2 linked regions of the Pelodiscus sinensis genome follow. The protein of the gene in region 1 binds, or shares a complex with, the protein of each later gene. Links are inferred from orthologs where the notes say so. Each region holds a gene or a part of one and is shown on either strand. Other genes may lie near its edges.

Region 1 (11,356 bases):
GTTTGCCGGAGCAGTTGGCTGAACAAGTCAGACAACTGAGTGCACTTATAGGCACTGAACTTTTACATTATTTAATTTTTAAATTAAGTTTTATTTGAACGTAATTCTACATTTGTAAGTTCAACTATCACGATGAACAGGTTGCACTGCAGTACATATAGCAGGTGAATTGAAAAATACTATCTTTTGGTTTTTTTTTTATTGTGCAAACATTTATAACCAGAAATGTGAGCACTGCATTCTTTGTATGCTGTGTGGTAATTGAAATCAAATATTTGAAAATGTAAAAACCTGCAAAATATTAGAATTTAATTTAATTACTGTTTACCAGTATGACTAATTGCATGATTAATCATCATTACTTTTTTAATCACTTGGCAGCCCTATGTTAAAGTCTGATAACCAAGGCTGCATAAAAAACTTTAATTAGAAAAAAATTTACAAGTGTCATAAGGAGTTAATATCAAGGAATACTTGTTAGGTGGTATTTTTACCTCTTCAGAGCATTGACCACACTGACTAATTCATCCTATAATACCCATAAGAGATAGGTAATAAAGGCTTCTTTGCATTTTACAGAAAGAGAAACAGGGATGGAAAGGTTAGGATATTTGCCCAAGGTCACATTGCAAATCACAGGCAGAGATGAGATTAGCATTGAAGAGTTTCTGGCTCTCAGTATTTTGCTCAAATAATTAGGATCAGACTGTCCCATTTAGCAGATGCTGGTTAAAGAAAAACAGCCAAGGATACAGACCGGAACTCTTACGATTCCAAAAGAAGAATTTAAACCTATAGCAGACTGCACAATCAGGACTAACACAACTAACATACTGTCAAAATAAAGGCTGCATAACTACAGTAAAAAAAATAGCAAATGAGTGTAGGCTAATTTGAATAGAAGGCAAAGACATGAAGCAGGCAAGTGGCTCATCCAATTTAGTATTGCAAATTGCAAGACTAGGGACCAGAATACACACAAGAATTCTCATAAGGGAGAACAAGCCAAGAGAATAGTTCAAGTTACTGAAATTAAGGCCACATGCATGTTTAGCTCAGTTAAAAAACAAAAGGGGGGGGGGGAAGTTGAAGGAGTTGAGACATACATCTGTGAGTATGAGGTATACGTTACTCTGACACCACCAAAGTGCTCAATCTTTTATTGCCAAGAAAATTCACATTTGGAAACTGCAGAGACGGAGATAAACAGAGAACAAATGACCAAACCATCATGTTCACCACGAGCTTGAGTTACGATTTTAAAATAAACTGACTACCAATCATGATTTGACACTACACAATTTGACACTCATAACCTCACCTCAAAAAAGTTAAAGCCTGGAAATCTAATAAGAACATGTGCAGGATATATGTCAGAATCTTGTTAGCTAATAGTCCACTTGGTTTGTACTTGGCTCACTTTTCCCTTACACTTTGCTGTAAATACATTGCCCAGTCAGCAGATGGTGATCACAAATCTGAGAGCCTCCAATATTCAGAAGTTCCTGGTACTATATCTATGAAACTACTTACACAGTCCTTTTAACACTAGCATCAGAGCATATTCAAAATAAAAAGTTAGGATATTGTTTCGATAACTAACTAGTTCGATTAAGCAATACTTTTAGAGAAAAAAAGCTAGCGTTTTGAGGACATTTTAAATCTTACTAAGTAACAGCCATGTAGTAAGAAATCTGAATCACAAAAACAATTAACCAAAAATCCAGAAAAATTACGACTAAATGTCTTTGCTCCACTTTTACATTAGGAGTTCCAGATAGTGACAAACCTAATGGATGATATTCTTACACAAGTTTTATTATATGATTATAAATGTTCCTTAATAAATACCAGCTTCACTTCTTTAGAAGACTGTGTAGAACTGACTCACTCCTGCAATATATTTACTACCATTTTCATCAGAATTCACAGCAGTCAATGTTTTCTTCAGATCGCCCCACCATCACAAGTAGGATGCACCAATCATTTATTAAACACTCCCTAAAATATAGTGAAGAGCTGCTATTATCATTAGAGTTTGAACTTCCATTTCTACATTCACTGTATTGTAAAGTCTTCTAGGTAGGGACTATCTGCCTATGGCTGTACAGCACAAAATTACACTGTTGACACTTAAAATACCACTAATAAAAACTGTTTGTACGTAAGTGAAATACACTACACTTGTGACCCACAGAAAAGTTACATGAACCCTACTAAGAGATTCAATTAAAAAAATGACTCCCCTCCTGTGAAACTAATTATTTGATAATGTAATATAGTTATTTTATTAGAGAATATGACTTAGCCCAGTGGTGGGCAACCTGCCACCTCAGGGCTACCTGTGGTCCCTCAGGTTCTGTGTGTGGCCTGTGAGACCTTATGTTTACCGTTACCTATGCACAGAGTTGCCAGATCCCGCTGGCTGGGTAGGTTTTTTCCTTACTTGTATTACTGAAGTGACATGCACATAAACCAAAGACACATGGGCTAACTGCATACAACATTGACTGTGAGCTTCCTCTACATCCAGTCAAAGTGCTGCTATGGTTTAACTGGAACATCCTGCAAATTCTAGGAATACAAGCGCAGTTAGCAAACTACCCTATCCCAGGAGACCATCTTAGTTACAACAATATGCTGCCCATTCACTAGTCTAGGCTTCTCATCGCTGGCTTAGCCTGAAATTCATATAATGTGTAAGCCTTTATATAACCTTTACATTTGGTCAAAATATTAAACATCGTCACTCCGGGATTTCTCATTTCCTTAAGTGAATAAAAAGGAAGAAAACAATCGCTTAGTCGACATAGGAATTAATATCCTGTAGCATTTTCTTCCTTTGTTATGTTGTTGTGCTTTATATAAAGTTGTGCAGATCAAAATTGCTGCAGTCACAATGGAATCAGGCAATCCTTTTCATATTAAAAGAAAATGAAAAGTTATTACAATGAGCTCAAGAAGTAGAGAGTCTTTAAAAAAATAAAATAAAATGTAATGGAGCATATACAGTTACATACAAACAACAAATTCTGGAGTCAAAGCAGTTGCATCATAATTTGCCTTTGTCCACCCAGTACAGGGAGGAGAATGACGTTCATTTCTCTATTGTGCAGGCAGACGGGATTGAAAAGACATTTGAAAACAAACACCAGTTTTGCTTTTTTTTTTTTTATTTCATTTCCTCCTCCACTTAGGCAACATATCAATGCAGTGCGCTTCTCCATTGAGTTAATGTTTACTTTAAAATGTGATCATTCTGAAAATGAATCAGAACTGGCAGGTGTACTGGTCATTTACCCAATCACGCAGGTCTGTGCGCGCACTGGAGGAGATTAGTGAATTACACCCAGGGAAAAAATAGATATTTTGGCATTACACTATACAAGCTCTATTAATACAATACAATAATAGAATACTAGAAATGTAAGTGATCTTGAGAGTAAGTCAATAGAATACTAGAATTGTAAGTCTTCAAGTCCAGTCCCCTGCCCTCACAGCAGCACCAAAAAGGGTCTATATCATCCCTGATAGCTACAGATCTAACTTGCTCTTAAATATCTCCAGTGAAGAAGATTCCACAACCTCCCTAGGCAATTTATTCCAGCGTTTAACCATCCTGACAGTTAAGAAGTTTTTCCTGGTATCCAACCTTGCTCCCTTGCTGCAGTTTAAGCCCATTGCTTCTTATCCTATCATCAGCCGTCAAGGAAAACAATTTTTCTCCCTCTTCCCTGTAACACCCTTTTAGGTTAGTTAACTATTATGTAACGTTAAATATCTAGTTTAGTTTATGAATGGCCTCCAGACATCCTCTGTACCTTAGTTACAGAAATCTGGGAGATGTAGATAACTAGCGCACATGTCTGGAGAGAGAGATAAACGCTGAAGGGGGACAGCCCTTGCACCTTGAATCTGGCTGGGACCTGTTTGGATTCCTGTCAAAGAGCTACCAGAACCAGTTTGGCTTTTCTCTCGCGGTGGGCTGCGCGGCTCTAAAGTTCAGTTAGGGAATCAAGCAGAGCCACCGCTTGGCCTGGGAGCCTCCAGCCTTTCCCTGGCACTCCTGCCTTGGCTGTCTCAGGTCCGGGCAAGCCAACGGGAACAGCACTCGGGGAAGGCAGCCAGGGATGCGGAGAGCCCTGGAACCAAACAGTGACCCCGCCTGGGAATCGCTCCAATCCAGGGAGGTGCTGCAGCACCTAGGAAGCGAACCCCGCAGGAGCTCTAGGAAAGTTAGAGCCACTCGCCCGGGGTGGAGCTCTGGGGCGGCAGGAGCAGGGCCAGGTGCTCAGGCGGAGCGTGCTCCGGAGCGCACAGCTGCTGTGGGCTCGGGGAGAACCGCCTTCCCCTCTCCCCCGGGGGCTCGGTCCTCACGCCCCGCACCCCGCCTGGCGAGCCGCCGCGCCTGCCCCCCAAGCTACCCACACCCCCTCCAGCCCCGGTGCGAGACGCGCAGCGCCCCGCCTCCGCAGCCCCCTCACCTCTCGCTGGAACTCGGGCCCCGGCCGCTCGGGGCAGCTTCCCGCCCTACACCTTGCACGCTCGCCCCGCTTGCTGCACGCCAGCTGCTCTCCCCAGCCCTCCAATGGCGCGCGGCTCCCCGCCTCGCTTGGCAAGCGGGCTCAGCACCGGCCAAACGAGTTCCTCAACTCTGCACAAGGTGCCTGGCCGCGCGCAGGAAGGTGAGCGCCGGCTGAAGGTGTGTGGCGGGGGTGGCTTACTCCTTGGGACTCATCCTCCCTTGGCGGGGTGGAGGGGGAACCCACCTCTGCCGCAGCTGCCCTCACTAAGCCCTTCCCCTAGCCCGGGGACAGCCCACGTGACTCCCAGGTACTAACAGCGGCCACCGGGGCAGGAGACATCCCCCTTTCCCCAGCCCCGTAGCCAGGGGAGCGGCCTGCGCTCGGGTTACACGCTGGGAGCGCTCCCCCTGGAGAGCGGCGCTAGCAGCTAGGTAGAGCCATGCCCGCTCCTCCTGGGCCCACCTTATTGTCTGTGCCTCAAGGTTCTCAGCCGCGCTCAGCCTGGCCTTGAGCCCTGCTTGGTTAGAAATCCGGACAGCGCCAGAATCATCCGAGGCATTTACTCATCTTTGTGTACCCCACTCCCTCCACCTGTCTCAGTTACCTCATTCGGGACTTTCTTGTAGGTGGGAGCTGCCTGGTTTTTGTTTCTCTTTGAAAGAAGGGGAACTAAACCCCGGGCTCTCTCTTTCCCAAGGTTTTGTTTTGGTTTGGTTTTTTACATTTGCATCTAATTATCTGCGGGGAAAGAAGCGAGGGGTTGTTTTGTTTTAGGCTTTTTTTTTTTTAAAGGTCCTTCAGGTTTCAGATCCAGTGAAACGTGTGAAGAGCTACATCCGTTTGATATTAGCCCCAATCCTGTACAGCCTGAAAATTGTAATCTTTCTCTTCAAAAGCACCCTTCTTGAAAATGGTTTTGGCAAAAAGCAGAGTGTTGGCTGAGCCAAAAATACAACTCGGTTGTGTCCTGGTATCAGAAATTTGAATGTTAAAGGGGCATGCAAAGAAGAAACAGAAAGAATTGTGGGTATTTTGCTTTTCTATAATGGTTTCAATAGCTCTGGAATTATTTTTTCAAAATATTTTACTTACCTGGTTTTTTCCCCTTAGAAATATCAAACCTGGTCTTCCTTACTTTTTTTTTCCTGAAAGACTTCCCTACATTAAAAGTGATAGAAATGTAGCGGTGTTAGTCTGTTGTAGCTGAAACAAAATACAGGACTATGTAGCACTTTAAAGACTAACAAGATGGTTTATTAGGTGATGAGCTTTCGTGGGCCAGACTCACTTCCTCAGATCAAATAGTGGAAGAAAATTGTCACAACCATATTTTTTCCACTATTTGATCTGAGGAAGTGGGTCTGGCCCATGAAAGCTCATCACCTAATAACCATCTTGTTAGTCTTTAAAGTGCTACATAGTCCTGTATTTTGTTTCAGCTACATTAAAAGGTATGTTGTGATTAAAGATGTTTAGCTGCTCAAAGATTGCTGTGATAGGAACCATATAAATACTTCACATATCTGATAGATATTAAATAACTATCAAAACTGTACTCCATTTTTAAATAACCTGTTTAAAATTCACTTCCTTTCACAATTAGTTAGATGGCACTTCCTCGTTGCTTTTGATGATGTCACAATCTCACTAGAGTCCTCCATCAAAGAAGCTAAAAGAAAAAAAGACACACATTTTAATTTTTTTTGTTGTTTTCATTTTGAAAGCCTTTATTGGGCTAATAAACAGTTTAACCCACTTATAACAAATTTTGGAGATCTTAAAGGCTGAAACAAAATGTCTTTTGCAACCGAGATGGAGCTCAATTGTGTTCAGTTAGATCCTGAATATAGTGCTGTGAATTATTTTATTGTGAACCTTGCCATATTTGGTGTTTTTCTTGTAATTATATGGGATTTAGATTTCATTACAAAAAAGTTTCTAGTTTTTGTAGTTGTGAAGAAAGTTTGTAAATAAACTATAGGTACCTTAAAGACTCAATCTGCAAAAAAAAGAGTCTCCAATATGTTATGTTTAAGACAATTGGAGGGGTCTGACTTACGGTTTTTGGACAATTGGGGTGCCAATTGTTTTGTACTGGCATTACTCTGGGGGTTGGCAATTCTGCGAGTGTGTTGTGAATAGTTTGTTTATTCACTTGCAACTCTTTCTTGCTCTGTTTTCAGGTATTCTTTGTTTTGGATGAATTCTGAAGTTAAACATAAAACATTTTGAAAAGAGAATGCAGATTCCTTAAATGAAACAGACAAAAAGTACCGAGAGTAAATTTATAGCAAAAGACTTTCATAAGAATTCAGTGGGAGGTCTTGGGTACTAAATCCTTTTGAGAACCCAGCTAGTGATGTCCCTGACCCTAAATTTGACAGCCTAAGGCACTTTCATATTGTTTAATCTGCAGGTCAGCATGTCCGGAAATAATGTTACACATGCTTCCAAGGTGGCCTAAAGAAGAGGTCTCTGTAGGTAAAAGCTTCTCTCTTTCACCAGCATATACTGAGTCAGTGAAAGAGATTACCTCACCTACCTTGCCGTTCTTCCAGGAAATACTCAGGTAAGAGCCCCTTACCAACAAACTTCTTATTTAGACTTTAAGAATAATAGAGGCACTCAATAAGTGCTCTCTAATATAAGTGCTGTACTAAATCCACATTAATACAAACACATACAATGATGGGAAGTGTACATTTTACATTGGGGGTAGCGGAACCTTTTTTGGTTCAGGGGACCATTGATCCACAGAAAAATTAGTCAGAGGCTGCACACAAGTGAGAAGGCAAAAAACCAACAACCTGAAAAAAAACCCCACAACCTCACTGATGTGGCCCCTGACTGAGAAGGAGAAAGATACTTCCCACATTCCCCTCGCACACTGGAACCTCATGTGCTCCAGCTCCACAGGGAGTTGGCGGGGGGGGGGGGGGGGAGGGTCCTAGAACACCAAACACAGACTCCCCACTGCTGGGGAAGAGCGCTGAGCCCCGGGGTCCAGATCCAGGTGAGCCGCATCCGGCCCCTGGGCCTTAGGCTTCCCACTCCTGTTTTACATGCTACCTAAGATACATAACAGATAGGATAATGAGAATGTGTTAACTATAATTATCATGTAATTATTTAAGTGCCAACAGTATGTTCAATACGGTATAGAAACAAATACAGTTTCTGCTCCAAGGTGTTTACAAGATCTTCTTACGCTGAAGTAAAAACAAGATCAAAACTACACAAAGGCCACAATGATAAAATAAATATTAAACCTTTACTGTAAATAGATAATCCCACTCACACTTCTAGTCCACCATTTACATGATAGGTACTTATAGCACTATTGTTTTCCCCCCAACATGTCAAAGTATTTGCTGACACTAAGTTTTGATAAGTCATCTGGTATCTTGTTTGCAGTGGTTTCTGATGACTCAGTGCACTAGCAATTATTTTTGTTACCAAATTTATTCATACTCATTTCAACAAAATTTGCTTAACTTCCTTATGAAACATTATGCTGTTTCCATTGCTAGAGATTCATCAGTTGCTAGAGTCTGGATTTTATTCCACAATCCCATGTTTTCTGTAACCATTTCCAGTGATCAGAGGACATGGCATGGAACTGTCATCAGAAAGATAGAAGAAAATTCAGAAAATGATATGATGGAACGTAGAAATTTGTGAAAATGAAAATGAGTGCAGAAATAGAAACAAGATGATGATGATGAGGAGACAGAATGTTGAGAGTAGAAAATATAGTAGGATAAAAGGGATGAGGAGTAGTAAGTGATAAAATAAAGTTAAAAACAAGGCATAGAAGTATTTGGAAAGAACCTAGCATACAGTGGTTGCTACCAAAATAAATACATAAATAATAAAGAAGACATTTGGAGAAGTAATGCCAAGTGAATGAATAAATGTGTTTTGTTTAACTGAACCCAATAATCAATCAACTGAACCCAATCAGTTAAGGATGTTTCAGAAGAAGGTGCTAGAAAATCCATAGCAGACAATTAAGGAAAAACTTAGGGGGAAGTTTCCTAACCCCTTTCTGTCTGTGTTTGGGTTATGCCTGGTGTTTCTAATATGTATGTAGCCTATACAATGTAACTATGGATGTTCTCAGTTGTCTTTATCCATCAAAACAGCTAATCCAAATCCTAATTATCTGAAACTTTTGGCCCCAATGATGGTTTGTGGCAATAAGATCCACACGTTAATTATGTTAATTTTTTTTAAAAAAATCCCTTTATCTGTGTTAAAATTTGTGACTTTCAGTTTCTCCCTTTTATAATGAGGTGATCAATGTGGTAATGAACTAGTAGCTGAACAATAATATGTGAGCAAAGGGCAGTGTGGTGATGTTCTACTGCTTTTCAATTTCCTCAATGAGGGAAATATGTCAGTGAGGAGGGAAAAGTTGTATGTCTGCTGAGAGAGAGTTTGAGACCTGGAAGGACAGATAGTGAAGAATAGAGTCAGTTGTTTCTGGTGAATGTCAGTAGTGAAGCTTTCTGGAATTGGCTGTGAGCAATTTGGTCTCGCTCGATTTAACAGGTTATATGCACATCCTTTATATAAAAAAAATTACAGTGTTCCTGACTGCATTACTTCGTTTCTCTCCATCATTAGAAACTGACCAGCTGTGTGGCTATGAATCTGCATATGGGTATGAAGAGACAGTGTATGTGTGCAAATACATATACACGCACAAAAGCCATTTCTGAATTATATTTTGCAAATGGTTACTCTATTTGCACACACAATTACAGTAACTGTGGAGCCAGGTAGTTTTGTATTCACTGCACAGTTTGATACTGAAGTAGCTTTCCTCACTAGTTTATAACTCAGAGCCTTACAATCTCTGACTTGCTTTATCAATTTGTAACCATACTTATCTCTTAGGGATGCTGTGAAGCTGTACTACCTAATGTTTGCAAATTGCTTCGTAGGTTTTAATGCCACATGAGAGCAAATATTACTATTAGCTGGACTGTTATCTGTGCCAATAAAAGATTTGGTTGTGCTATTAAAGATAAACGGTTCTGCTCTGAATAGCAGTGGTGGGCTATTTTTATGCAGTAGAAAATTGTATTAATAAGAAAACTCTCATTTTCCAACCAGCAAGTAGTTAAAGAAGTAAAAATAAGTGAAAAATATACCATTCCCCATGCATTTAAAAAATGGGCAAATGGAGTACTGATTCTAACAGTCATTAGAGCCATTTGAGTTAGTCATGGATATGTTCTGACCCACATCATCTAACAAGGAAGGATATTAGGCACTTTTAATCCTGGTCTATGCCAGAAAATAAATGCTAGACAAAAACAGTCTGATCAGCAGTCCTGTGTTACACCTTTATTACAATAATCATTAATGCCAAAATGAACATGAAGAAACATAATAGGAGTTATTCCATTTTTGAGAGAGCTTCCTTAGCCTAATCACTATATTTTGGCTTGGTATAAGAAATAGACAGGCTATATTAGCCTACCTATCTCTGCATTTATATTTTTCTCTACTCTACTTGAACCACATAGCTTACAGGCTGTGACTGACCCATCAAATGATGGCCATAATTTGAATCTTCAGCACTTCTCCTTACAAGTTATGAGTTTCTCTTATTTTTGGGAACAGCTGCAAGAAATTAATATTAATCTTAATAAAAACAATATTAACTAAAACCAAAGAAAATGGCTTTCACAGACATGAAATTGTTTGCTTAAACTCCTGAGAATGTTTCATCTTAATTAGTTGAGCAGGTGCTGCACTTCTGCTTTCCAAATATTTCTCCCAATTACCTAATCATTTAATAGGATTTGGACCTGCTGCTTTCTGTGGCATATGAACTGTTACAGATAGGGATACCTCTTAATAAAGGTTAATAGCCATCCTTCAATGGCTTTTCCCAATATGCACTTAGGTACATGTCTAAAGGGAAGGGATATTTTCCCAGGACTGGCAGGAAATTGAAAGTTTGCAAATACTCTAGGTACAATGTGCAAATCTGATCTTCTGAGTTCAAGAAAGATGAATTCAAATGGGAACAGGTGTGGAGAAGGGCTACTAGGATGATCTTACGAATAGAAAACCTAGGTTATTAGAGGAGACTCAAAGAGCATGGTTTGTTTGGCTTAACCAAGGAGGTGAAGGCCCACTCAAGAGATATGATTGTTCTTTATGAACACATCAGAGGTATAAATATCAGAGAGGTAGAGAAGTTATTTAACTTAAGTGCCAATATGGACACAAGAACAAATGGATATAAACTGACCAACAAATATAGGCTTGAAATTAGATGAAGTTTTCTAAGCCTCAGTGGAGTGAAATTCTGGAACAGACTTCCAAGCAGGGCAGCAGGGGCAAAAAGCTTAATTGGCTTCAGGACTGAGGTTGATAAGTTTATGGAGCAGCTATTATGATGAGACTGCCTATAGTAGCGTGTAGCCAGTCTGCAACGGGTAGCAGCAAAGAACGCCAATGGCCAGCAATCAGACACTAGACGGGGAGGACTGAATTACTACAGAGAATTCTTTCCCAAGTGTCCGGCTGTTGGATCTTGGCATCATTCTTGGGGTCAAACTGATCCCCATAGTTGGGGTTGAGAAGGACTTTTCCCCCAGGTCAGATTGGCAAAGACCTTAGGGTTTTGGGGAGAGCATTGTTTATTGTTTTGTCTGTCTTCCTCTGCAATGGGACACAGGTGGCTTCCAGGTTTGAACAAGTGTAAATTGTGGATTCTCTATAACTTTAAGTCTTTAAATAATTATTTGAGGACTTGAGTCACTTTGCCAAAGGTTTAGGAATCTAGTACAGGAATACATGAGGTTCTG
Region 2 (11,167 bases), on another chromosome or scaffold:
CTTATATACTATCCTATAGTTTAGATCAGTTGAGTTTCAAAAATCCTGATTACCTTTCTTGCACTTACAAAGTAACTTTGGGCACAATTTTGCACTTGCAATTTCTCAATCTTAAGGGACAATCAGGCTCACCCAGACTCTCTCTTCCTGACTTATCAGTGTGGCTGGCTTAATAATTAAATATAAAAATTGACATTGCTACAGAAGAAGAGTCTTACTGGATTCTGAGATATATGTAAACTTTATTTAATTGTCCTTTTATTGTACGTCATGGTAACTATGAACTTTGAACAAAACCGTTCACCCACCACCCAATGAAACTGTCATAAAGATTCTTTACAAGTTCATTTGCTGCTGACTATTGTATAGAAGAAGTAATCTTGGTTTTCTTTTTTAAGTCATTGGGACCTTTACTGCCTTCAAGCAATCTATGAATAAAATTATAGACACTCTCCCCATAAACACCTTTTAGCTTAAATAAGTTTTGAAAGTGAATGGAGTTCTTACTAATGGGTATTCATTCACATTGTCAAACTGTTGACCATGACTTCACAGGGAAATGAGAAGTTTACCTGATTCATCTATTGGTTATAAAGATATCAAAATGGACTAGGAAAAGGAGAAAGGAGGGTCATTCCCAGTTCCTTTAGAAGGGTTCCATCAGGTGGCAATAGGAAAAAAAGTATGTTTTTACTCTCTCTGCAATTAAACTCCTGCGAAAGATATATAAATATAGGAGTAAAAACCACATGCACTGTGGTGAAGAAGTCTTCTATACAGATGAAACAAAATATGGACAATTAGTAACTACAGAAAACTTTGAAGAATAGCCTCTCATCAGTCAGTAAGGTTCTGATTCTCCTCTTGTTTATGTTGGTTATACCAGAGTAGAACTCTATGGATTTAGTTATGCACATCAGGGTAAAAAAAAAAAATCATGCCCCGAGTCTACAGTGAAGTCTTCTTTCATGTAATCCACATGCATAATCTAGTCACCATCTCTCAAGGCTATTTGCATAATTGGCCTGCACTTTGTGAATGTTTTTGGTAGACATGAACTACAACAGGTTTAGGTAGTTAACAGTTGGGTTTTTTTTCCCATAAAAAGAGCTACACTGCTGAAGTTGAGCTTGCCCTTTCCACTCCAAGAGGCCTTCCAGAAGATCCACATCCATTATTAAGCTTAAGAGATACTAGCAGAACTAGCAGCATTACCGGTTTGTGGGGCACGTAACCCATTTCACAATATGGAGAGCTAACATTCCTAGCAGTGAATATAAACTAATAATGAAGTTACATATATTTGCATTCTACAGTCTACTTCCCACATGGATCAGACTGCCGGGCAAATCTATATGTAAAAAAAATAGTTAGCAGGAATAATGTTAACAGCAGAAAGGGCAAGGTCTGTCCTAATTTACACCGATGCAACCTCAGTGTATTTGCATGGGTCTAACAGAGCAGAATTTGGTTCATATGCTCACTGTACACACTGCTATTATCTTTGTATGAAAACTTTTTCTTGCATTTGCAGCATTCCACAGACCCCAATTCCACTGTGAGCTTGGGGAAAAAGTTCATTTAATATGCAAGGCCATTTCTTAGACAATTACTTGTGTTCTTTTACTTCTTTGAAAATGCTTTGAGTTGAAGTAATTTGTTCAAGGTTTTACCTGACTTTTCAGGTCTCAGCTGACATATAGTTCACAGCACTGGTATAAAAGACACTGCTTCTAAAGTAGTAATAAGCCCACATTTATAAATCTGTTTCAAGAAACTTTTATGGAGTAAGATTCACCCAATTTGAAAAATTAAAAAGAGATCCCACACTTGCCCAAAAGACTTCAAAATATACATGGATGTGACAAGGGGAGCAGTTACATTGTGAATTAGACATCATCACATGCCACAGACATTCAGACATCTAATAAGAAATCATCTCATAAGCAACCACTATCAAGTGATGGTTCCCAAAGCTACCTACCATCACTAACTTGTCAACTCAACTTTTTAAGAGGTTAAAAAAAAAACCTTCACAGGAAACAAAATATAAACATTCAGGAAAATACATGTTTGAGGACTTAAGACTATTCTCCTTGCTTAGTCTTTCTAGGCACTGGAGTCGCTATTTTTGGACACAAACTAAGTAAGTTGGACGACTTGATTTTATTGCCATGTAAAGTGTTTCTAGTCTCAAGGTTATTTAATGACATTCTTAGCAATATCTGTTAGAAAAAGAACATATGGACAAGGCAAGATCTTCCCATCCTTTTAAAATAGAAGATAAATCTATAACAGAAAAAGGATCCTTTTCTCGATGAGTGAAGTTACGTGGACTGTATCAACATTAGTCAGCTGTGTCCAGAAGATGCTTATAAGTAAAGTCATTGTGTAGAAAGAAGCCTCTACTCTCTCTGCAGCTATCAGCATGAGCCCAAGTGAGAAGGAATGAGGGAAGAAAAATGGTTTTGGATCACAGTTACCACTTACATCTAGCATCTAACATGATAGTCTCTCGCTAAGGATTAACATCAACCTTTAAAGTTTATTGTTTTGGACAGTTTCAGGTCAATTTTTTTTCCATTTTAGTGAAGGACTAGTATATAATCCTCCTCTTCAAAGAAAAAAAGCATTCTTGAAATTAAAACAGTTGACAATTGGATTGTTAGCCATAAGCAGCTACCAGCTGCCAAATCAACCACCAGCAGAGTGATGCTTCTTTATGAAAGTGTTTTACACGTTGGGCTCAAGCAGCATGATAGAACTCATCATTGTGAACACTGTCTCTTATTGATCTTTGGTCTTGCTATGATATTACCAAATGTCCCTTTTACCAGTGTAAAGAAAAAGGCACAAATAACTTAGTCTCCAAAAATGGAATCTGTAAAAGTCTTGTTAGAACTAAACAGAAATAGTGTTAAATTCTAGTCAGATGCATATTTAGATTACCATGCATTAGGACAATGATTTGCTGTTGGATTGCAAACTCTGCAGTGCATTGTCTTTAAAATCTATCCATAGACAGAGACTAGTGAGCTTCACTTCCATTACTAAAAAAAAAGATTAGAAAAACAGAAGTTAATCCAGATAGAGGAAAATAGTGTAGAAAGTGAGACGGATTGAAAGTGAGACAGATTGAAATGATCCCAGTCTTCTAAAAAAGTAAAAAACAAAGTCTGAGGTGTAATTAGAAATATTGGTAATTGTGTATAGGCAAAAAGAAAATCTGACAGTGATTCTTTAGGTGCACAGATATATAGACAAAGTGAAGGGCTTATCACTCAGTTTAAAATAAGCTGTAGAATTTAAGCAGCGTTGAACTCTCCATTGTGGCAAGGAAACCAGGTTTTCATCCAGCCTACTACGGACACTGAAGGTCCAAGTTTCCTCTCACTTACACTAGTGGGAGTTGGCAGTAAACCCACTGAAATCAGACTGATACCACTGAAAAAGAAAGATAAGGCCCAGATGCTAGCAGCAAAGTTTGCATCTGGAGCTCAAAGTTTGGTGGCATTTGGACTCTGACTCTCTATTCCACATCCATCTGATTTTGTTTCTGGTACTTGATATGAACAGCCAGCATGACAAAGCCAGTGAGGATGCAGGCAGAGCCAAAGACCAGATAGACAATGCCCAGGAAGGGGTTCTTGCCACCCATCCAGGAAACAGTGCTGAAGATGACCTTCTTTGTGCCCTGGAAGGAGAGGACAGGGTAGTTGTAGGTGATGTTGAGGCAGTAGGTGCCTTGGGGCAGGCCAGAGGAGAAGTTGCCTTCATGCACACGGCGGTAGAGCTTGCGGAACGTGGGCAAGGCAGCAGTACGCATCCACACGATGAAGTCCTCGTTGATAAAACCGGTGTTGTTGGGGTTGTCTGGGTCCAGCTGGTAGGCAGCACGGGGCCAATTGGGGGGCTTGGTTGTGTTCTTGAAGGCATTCTCCAGGGTGCCATCGACCGGTTCTGGATTGCTGAACTTCACGTTGGAGTCGGTCCACCAGGAGATGCCCCTTTTGTCCAGGGGCACAGGGTAGAAGGAGCCATTGATAACGTGGTAGAGGGTGAAGGCGTCATTGAAGAGGCTGTTGGCAATGGCCCCGCAGGGGGCGATGGGGATGCCCTGCGGGTCAGTGCGGAAGGGGCTGCACTCCGTGGCTGGGTGTGTCAGCCCCCAGGCGTCCCCGCTGAGCTGCCGGTCGTCGCGGGAGACGCCGTAGCGCCGGTGGTTCTGGTAGAAGTTGGAGAGCTGGTAGTAGAGGCACACGGGCCCCGGGAAGCGCTCGGGCAGCTGGAAGAGCAGCAAGCAGGTGCAGCTCCCGGCGCTGGCGTTGGCGCAGCGGGAGCAGTTGTGGCCGCTGCCCGGCGCCCCGGTGTAGTCGAGCTCCAGCTCCCGGATGGTGGCGGAGGAGAAGTGCAGCCCCAGCCCCAGGGCCAGGCAGGCCAGCCCCACGCAGAAGAAGAGCGGCAGCGCCGTGCCCGCCGACAGCAGCGGCTGCCAGGCCGGGAGGCGCTGCTGCGTGAAGGCCGTGTTGTCCGGCTTGTTCTGGGCAGGCGGCCCGGCGCAGGGCTCAGCAGCCGCCATGGTCCCCGCGCAGCGCTGCAGCGCCCCGCCCAAGCGCGCGGACAGGTGAGCGGCGGTGCCGCGCAGCGCCAGGTAGAGCCCGCCCCCCTCCCCGGCAGGGCCACATGCCGCCTGGGGCGCGCTCGGCTCCATGGCACCGCCCCGGCAGAGCCACCCCTGCTCCTCGACCGGGCAGGGTCCTGCACAGCAGCCTCCCCAGGAGCTGAAATTAGGGGAGGTGTTCCAATTTACAAGGGGGTGTCAGGGCTGAGGGGTGAAACTGGCAGGGTGACGGTGGCTGTAGGGCACCATAGTTCACAAAATTGGGGGGGGGTTACACTCCCATGGGGGGAGGGTGTAGGGAAATCCCTGGTCCCGCATGGCGCAGGAGAGAGCTCCGTTCTTTGACAGCGGCCCTCTGGGCAGGGTCCCATACAGCCGGGACCATCCATCGGGCAGAGCTCTCTTGGCATAGTCCCCATTCCCATGCAGACCTAGGCTCTTCGACAGCCCCCTGGGCAGGGCCTCCAGAGCAAGCAGCGCAGGGACAGCTCAGTTCTCTGGAATAGCCTCTGCCCCCAAGATCTAGACAGTTGGGAGTCCAGGGGGGAGCTCACCCGATCTGTAACACTCTCCAGGGAGTAGACCATGCAATCCAGCTCTCAAGCACACATACACGCCCAAGCAGAACATGAGATATACACCCCAGCTCCGCCAAGCCAGTCATCTTTACACAAAAAACAGAAGTTTCACAACCTCAGCCCAGCCCTCCTGACCATCCCTGCATATGCACATCTACAGATCATCTACCGACATGCAGACTCCTGCAGGATACCTACAAACACAAATGCATAGATCCCATCCTTATGCAATATCTACACATAGCCAGCAAAGCATCTACACAAAAAGTACATAGCATAGCCTAAATGGAGAATCTACACACAGGCAAACCAATCTAGCACAATATAAACACATGCATATACACCTAGCATGTATCTGGTCAGCTTAACATAGTATTTACACCAGCTTTTTTAAGCGCAAGATCACTTTTTGAATTTAAGTGCCATCCAGGATCTACCTCAAACCTTAATACCCTTGCCCCATTTCCCTTTCTGCCCCTTCTCCAAGGCCCCACCCTGCTGACTCCATCTTGCCCCTCCCCTCCCACCCTCATTCACTTTCACTAGGATGGAGCAGGAGGTTGAGGTGCAAAGGGATGTGCAGTTTGTGTGGGAGGGGCTCCAGACTGAGCCTGGGGTAGGGGTGCAGAAGGGGATTCAGAGTGCAGGCTATGGAAGAGAGCTTGGGTGCAGGAGAGGTTCAGGGCTGAGGCAGGGATTAAGGATGTGGGCTGCAGCTGGACAATGCTTATGTTGGGCAGCACCCAGGCAGTGTAGCAGAGGGGCTAAAGCAGACCCACTTCCACCCTGGCCCCGCATCATTGCTGAAGGAATCTAGTATGTCTAGTAATGGTTCCTGAGAGGGAGGGGCAGGTGGCACCCCCTTCAGCAGGCCCAACCCCCCCCACATCCCATTGGTCATTGTTCCCCATTCCCAGCTAATGGGAGCTGCAGAGGAAATGCCTGCAGGCAAGGGCAGTGTGTGGAGACTCCCTCCCCTTCCCCAGGGGCCATAAGGACGGGCCAGCCACTTCTAGGAGTGCAGGGCCAGGGCAGGAGGCTGCTTCCTATTGTTATGGCTGCACTGTTAGTGGCTGATCTCCTGATTTGGCTGCAAGAGCCTCCAGGAGATTAAGCCCTATTCTGGGAAACTAGTGCTGTAATTTTCTCCAAAATCTCTCCTCTGGCCCATCCCTTCTCCAAGGCTCCACCCTGCTCACTCCTTCCTCCCGCCTTCCCCCATCCTCACTCACTTTCACCAGGCTAGGACAAGGGTTTGGTTCTGGTCTTGGGCTGAGGAGTTCAGAGTGTGGGAGGGAAAAAATTAGAGGGAATGAATTTTGTTATGTGCACCAATATTGAGGTGATGTGCAGCACTGTTGAAATTAAAATCCTAATAATTGATAATATTTTTTAAATTATCATGAGGATAATTAGTCCAGCCAGGACAGGTAGCTTTTTTTAGATTCACTACTCAAATAATTAATTTAAGCATCAGAGAGAAATAAAAATTATAAAATGCACAGACCAGTCAAAAACCTGAAATAAGACATTTTGAAACAAGTAAAAGAAGTAAAAACAACTCAAGGATGTGTTGGGCAGGGAGGTGAGTGTTAAGGACAGAGTGTGTTTGTGTGAGTGTTAGACACAGCATGGTGAGATTTATAGATTTGCATTACTCTTGTAAGTTTGCTGAGCATGTTCAGTCATGGCTTCCCCCTCTGCTGAGGCCCCACCCCTCACAGGGAGGAGATGGGGCAGCATGCTGAGCGTACCCCCCCCCCCCCCGGGGGGAGGGGAAGAGAAGGAAGGGGGCAAGCAGGTGTGTGGCCCCCAGCTTCCCTAAAGCACCAGTGGAGGGAGGAGGGTGCACGGTGCATCTCCTGCCTCCTTGGAGCACCAAGAGATGGAGGAGGGTGCTTGATGCAGCCCCAGCATCAGGGAGGCAGGAGGCCGCGTGGCTCCAGCCTCCCCGGCCAGGAGTATTGGCAGGGCAGGCACTGGGGGCGGAGTGTGAGGAGAGCCATGCCTGGCAGTTTGGGAAGGCAAAGTCTTCCCCTGCCTAGGCTACTGGACGCTTGTGTAGATTAGGGTTGCCAGATGATTTAACCAAAAATACCGAACACTCACCCACCCCCAAAAAATACACCGGGGGAAAAATTCTGTTGAGAAAAAAAAAGGGGGGGGGGGAGACCAAAATTATTAAGCAAAGAAAAATTAAAAATTAAACACATTAAAAACCCCAGCATGGCCCCTTTAAGAAATGCCTGAAACACAACCATCTGCCATCTTGTGTTCCTGCTCCGGGCCAGACAGCTCCCCTGCGGACCCAGGTAAGCACCCAGGATTTTCACCTCCTGGCCGGGGAAAAATCAGAAAATACCAGACATTTTAAGTGTCCAGTATTTTCTGATTTTTTTTACCAGACAGGGGGCAAAAATACCAGTGTCTGAGTGAATACTGGACACCTGGCAGCCCTAAGAGATGAAGTACAGGCATGGGAGCAGGGGACACCTTGACATCTGTGCTCCCCTCCTCTGCCTTCCCCACCCTACACAGCAAGCAGGTGGCTCCTGGGGGTCAGCTCCAAGGGAGAGGGCAGGAGAAGCACAACGTGGGGAGAGAGACAACTGAAGAGCCAGCACTTGATAGCCTCCCATCCAGACTAGTCCAAGATCTGTACACACAACATAGGACAGCTTGTTTCCTTAAGACTTAGGTCATTCAAACTCAAATATTGAGTTTCCAGGAGTAGCCTAATACAAGGCTCAAAAAAGCTGTTTTTCAGGTTTAGGCACTATTTTCTGAGAATGCACTGCTCCTATTGCAAACAGCTAAGGGGAACTCCACAAATAGCTAACTAAGGCAACCTGATAGAATCACAATTTCAGTATTTTAACACCTTAATAACTAACAATGTCAAGGGCATTTTCTACTTTTTGTTAATCAGAAATATTAAATGATATATCTATAATTACCAAATTCAGCTAGGAAAATATGAGAAAAATAGCTAATTTTTTTTACTGGGGGAGCTTTTTTTACAGTGATGTTATTGTATACAAAACTGTATACAATCCCCCCATACTCTTCTGTAGACTAAATAAACCCAAACCCCTCAGCCTCTCCTCATAAGTCATGTGCTCCAGCCCCCTAATCATTTTTGTTACCTTGGCTGGACTTTCTCCAGTGTGTGCACATTCTTTCTGTAATTGGGAACCAGAATTGGATGCAATACTCCAGATGTGGCCTCACCAGTGCCGAATAAAGGGGAATAATCACTTCTTTAGATTTGCTGGCAATGCTCCTCCTAATGCACCTCAATATCCTGTTAGCTTTCTTGGCTACAGGGACACACTGTTGACTCATATCCAGCATCACGTCCACTGTAATCTTCTGGTCTTTTTCTGCCTAATTGCTGCTTAGCCAGTCAATCCCCAGCCTGTAACAATGCTTGGGATTCTTCCATCCTGAGTACAGGACTCTGCACTTTTCCTTGTTGAACCTCATCAGATTTCTTTTGGTGCAATGTCCAATTTGCCTAGGTCACTCTGGACCCTATCCCTAACCTCCAGCATATCTACCTCTCCCCCTAACTTAATGTCATCTGTGAAGTTGCTGAGGGTGCAAACCATCCCCTCATCCAGGTCATTAATAAAGATAAACTTAAAAAACAACAAATGGTCTTTGTAGACGGTATCATGAGCTTTTGTGAGCACAACCCACTCCATGAATGCTCATGATCCCATCTACATGTTTTGTTAGTCTATAAAGTGCTACCAGACCATTTGTTGTTTAAGTTTATCCTGTACAGCAGTGTTTCTTAAACTTAGTTCCGCGGCACACTGGTATGCCACAGGGCAGTCTGAGGTGTGCCACGGCAAACAACAGAGTTTAAAATGGCTGCCCTTAAAAGGGCAGGCAACCTTTTTTTTCTCAATAACTTCCCCTCGACCCGTTTTTTCCCGCCGACTTTTTGTTGTTGTTGTTCAACAAAAAAATCCATCGTGTTCCTCATAAAAAAAATTATTGTTTGGTGTTCCTCAGTCTTAAAAAGTTTAAAAAACACTGCTGTACAGACTAACTCAGCTACCCCCTGAAGCTTCATTAATAAAGATACTGAACAAAACCAGACCCAGCACCAACCCTTAGAGCACTCCACCTGATACTGACTGCCACCCAGACATCAGCTGTTGATCACTACCCATTGAGCCAGACAATCTAGCTAGCTTTCTATCTATAACACAGTCCTCCCACAAGTTGTATCAGCTCTGGCTGAGCCATTTAAAAATAACAAAGGAGGCTCATAATGAAGCCCATTTAGCTCTACTCTTTGAACAGTGTGGAAAAACGGGTTGAACCAGCCTTTCACCAGATGCTTGCGGGTATGCATGCTGGTTGGGACTCTTGTCCCCACCCCTATACTGCACTTGATTGTGACACAGCATTTGCAAAGATGGCAGCTCTAGTAAAGACAGCTTTCTAACACCAGCAGCTTTTTTCAGCACTATATTATTAATGCTACTGTATTATTAATACCAGCACTGTAGTATTAATGCTACATTAAGCCTGTGTTTCTACAGGCAGATTTTTTTTTAAAGTTCCCTGCTGTAGACAGAGTTTCAGAGAAGAAACAGAACAGACACACACCTGACATCCTCGCTAAATTACTTCTGACATGGTCCTTCCCATTTGCTCTTATGGTTCCCTTGCTGTTTTCTTTTTTTCAGTAATAAAAAAGACACATATCCTTTGCCAAGAAACACTAATTCAGTCATGAGAGTGACTGTTATATTTCTGAAATTCAGATGATCCCTTTCAGAACAAAACCAAATTAGGGCACTGACTGTCAAATAAAAAAAAACAATTTAAAACATCTCCCAAACAACTTCACTGTAAAAAGAATCATAGAACCATAGAGCTGGAAGAGACCTCAAAAGGTCATCAAGTCCAGCCCCCTGCTTTAGGCAGGACCAATCCCAACTAAATCAACCCGGCCAGGGCTTTGTCAAGCCAAGACTTAAACACCTCTAGGGATGGAGACTCCACTACTTCCCTAGGTAACCTGTTCCAGTGCTTCACTACCCTCCTAGTGAAATAGTTTTTCCTAATATCCAACCTGGACCTGTCCCACCATAACTTGAGACCATTGCTCCTTGTTCTGCCATCTGTCACTACTGAGAACAGCCTTTCTCCATCCTCTTTGGAACCTCCCTTCAGGAAGTTGAAGGCTGCTATCAAATTCCCCCTCACTCTTCGCTTCTGCAGACTAAACAGACCCAACTCCCTCAGCCTCTCCTCCTAGGTCATATGCTCAACCCCCCTAATCATTTTGGTTGCCTTCTGCTGGACCCTCTCCAATGCGTCCACATCCTTTTTGTAGTGGGGGCCCAGAACTGGACACAATACTCCAGATGTGGCCTCACCAGAGCCGAATAAAGGGGAATAATGACATCTCTGGATCTGCTGGCAATGCTCCTCTTAATGCAACCTAATATGCCATTAGCCTTCTTGAATACAAGGGCAAACTGTTGACTCATATCCAGCTTCTTATCCACTGTAACCCCCAGGTCCTTTTCTGCAGAACTACAACTTAGCTGGTTGGTCCCCAGCCTGTAACAATGTTTGGGATTCTTCCGTCCCAAGTGCAGGACTCTGCACTTGTCCTCGTTGAACCTCATCAGGTTTCTTGTGGCCCAATCCTCCAAGGTGGCCCAATCCTCTAAGTCACTCTGGACCCTATCTCTGCCCTCAAGCGTATCTACCTCTCCCCCTAGCTTACTGTCATCTGCAAACTTGCTGAGGGTGCAATCCATCCCCTTATCCAGGTCATTCATAAAGATACTGAACAAAACCGTTCCTAGAACCGAATCTTGAGGCACTCCGCTAGAAACCAACCGTCATCCTGACATCGAGCTGTTGGTCACTATCTGCTGGGCCCGGCCTTCTAGCCATCTTTCTATCCATCTTACCGTCCATTTATCCAATCCAC

What was found.
Region 2: the proteins of ATP8B1 (region 1) and TMEM30B are in contact, whole or in part, in a cryo-EM structure (PDB 7VGH), measured with the Homo sapiens proteins. The link is inferred for Pelodiscus sinensis from reciprocal best matches to the Homo sapiens genes ATP8B1 and TMEM30B. Residues at the interface, in NP_001361314.1 of Homo sapiens: Trp362, Val366, Ser369, Ser370, Trp371, Tyr372, Leu373, Tyr374, Asp375, Gly376, Phe418, Trp421, Asp422, Leu423, Tyr426, Asp431, Pro433, His939, Trp942, Arg946, Tyr968, Phe971, Asn972, Gly973, Ser975, Ala976, Gln977, Leu1003, Gln1005, Phe1049; in NP_001017970.1 of Homo sapiens: Gly9, Ala10, His11, Gln12, Pro13, Asn15, Phe18, Thr19, Gln20, Gln21, Arg22, Leu23, Pro24, Ala25, Trp26, Gln27, Pro28, Leu30, Ser31, Ala32, Ala35, Leu38, Phe39, Phe46, Leu49, Leu53, Tyr109, Tyr111, Asn116, Phe117.

What each region holds. Positions count from the first base shown.
Region 1 is NC_134716.1:110,411,610-110,422,965, reverse strand, and holds the start of ATP8B1 (phospholipid-transporting ATPase IC), read right to left. Parts: upstream 4,981-11,356; 5' UTR 4,485-4,980; intron 1-4,484. UniProt on the Homo sapiens protein: Catalytic component of a P4-ATPase flippase complex which catalyzes the hydrolysis of ATP coupled to the transport of phospholipids, in particular phosphatidylcholines (PC), from the outer to the inner leaflet of the plasma membrane.
Region 2 is NC_134722.1:38,426,611-38,437,777, forward strand, and holds TMEM30B (cell cycle control protein 50B), read right to left. Parts: upstream 4,663-11,167; 5' UTR 4,580-4,662; coding exon 3,530-4,579; 3' UTR 1,764-3,529; downstream 1-1,763. UniProt on the Homo sapiens protein: Accessory component of a P4-ATPase flippase complex which catalyzes the hydrolysis of ATP coupled to the transport of aminophospholipids from the outer to the inner leaflet of various membranes and ensures the maintenance of asymmetric distribution of phospholipids.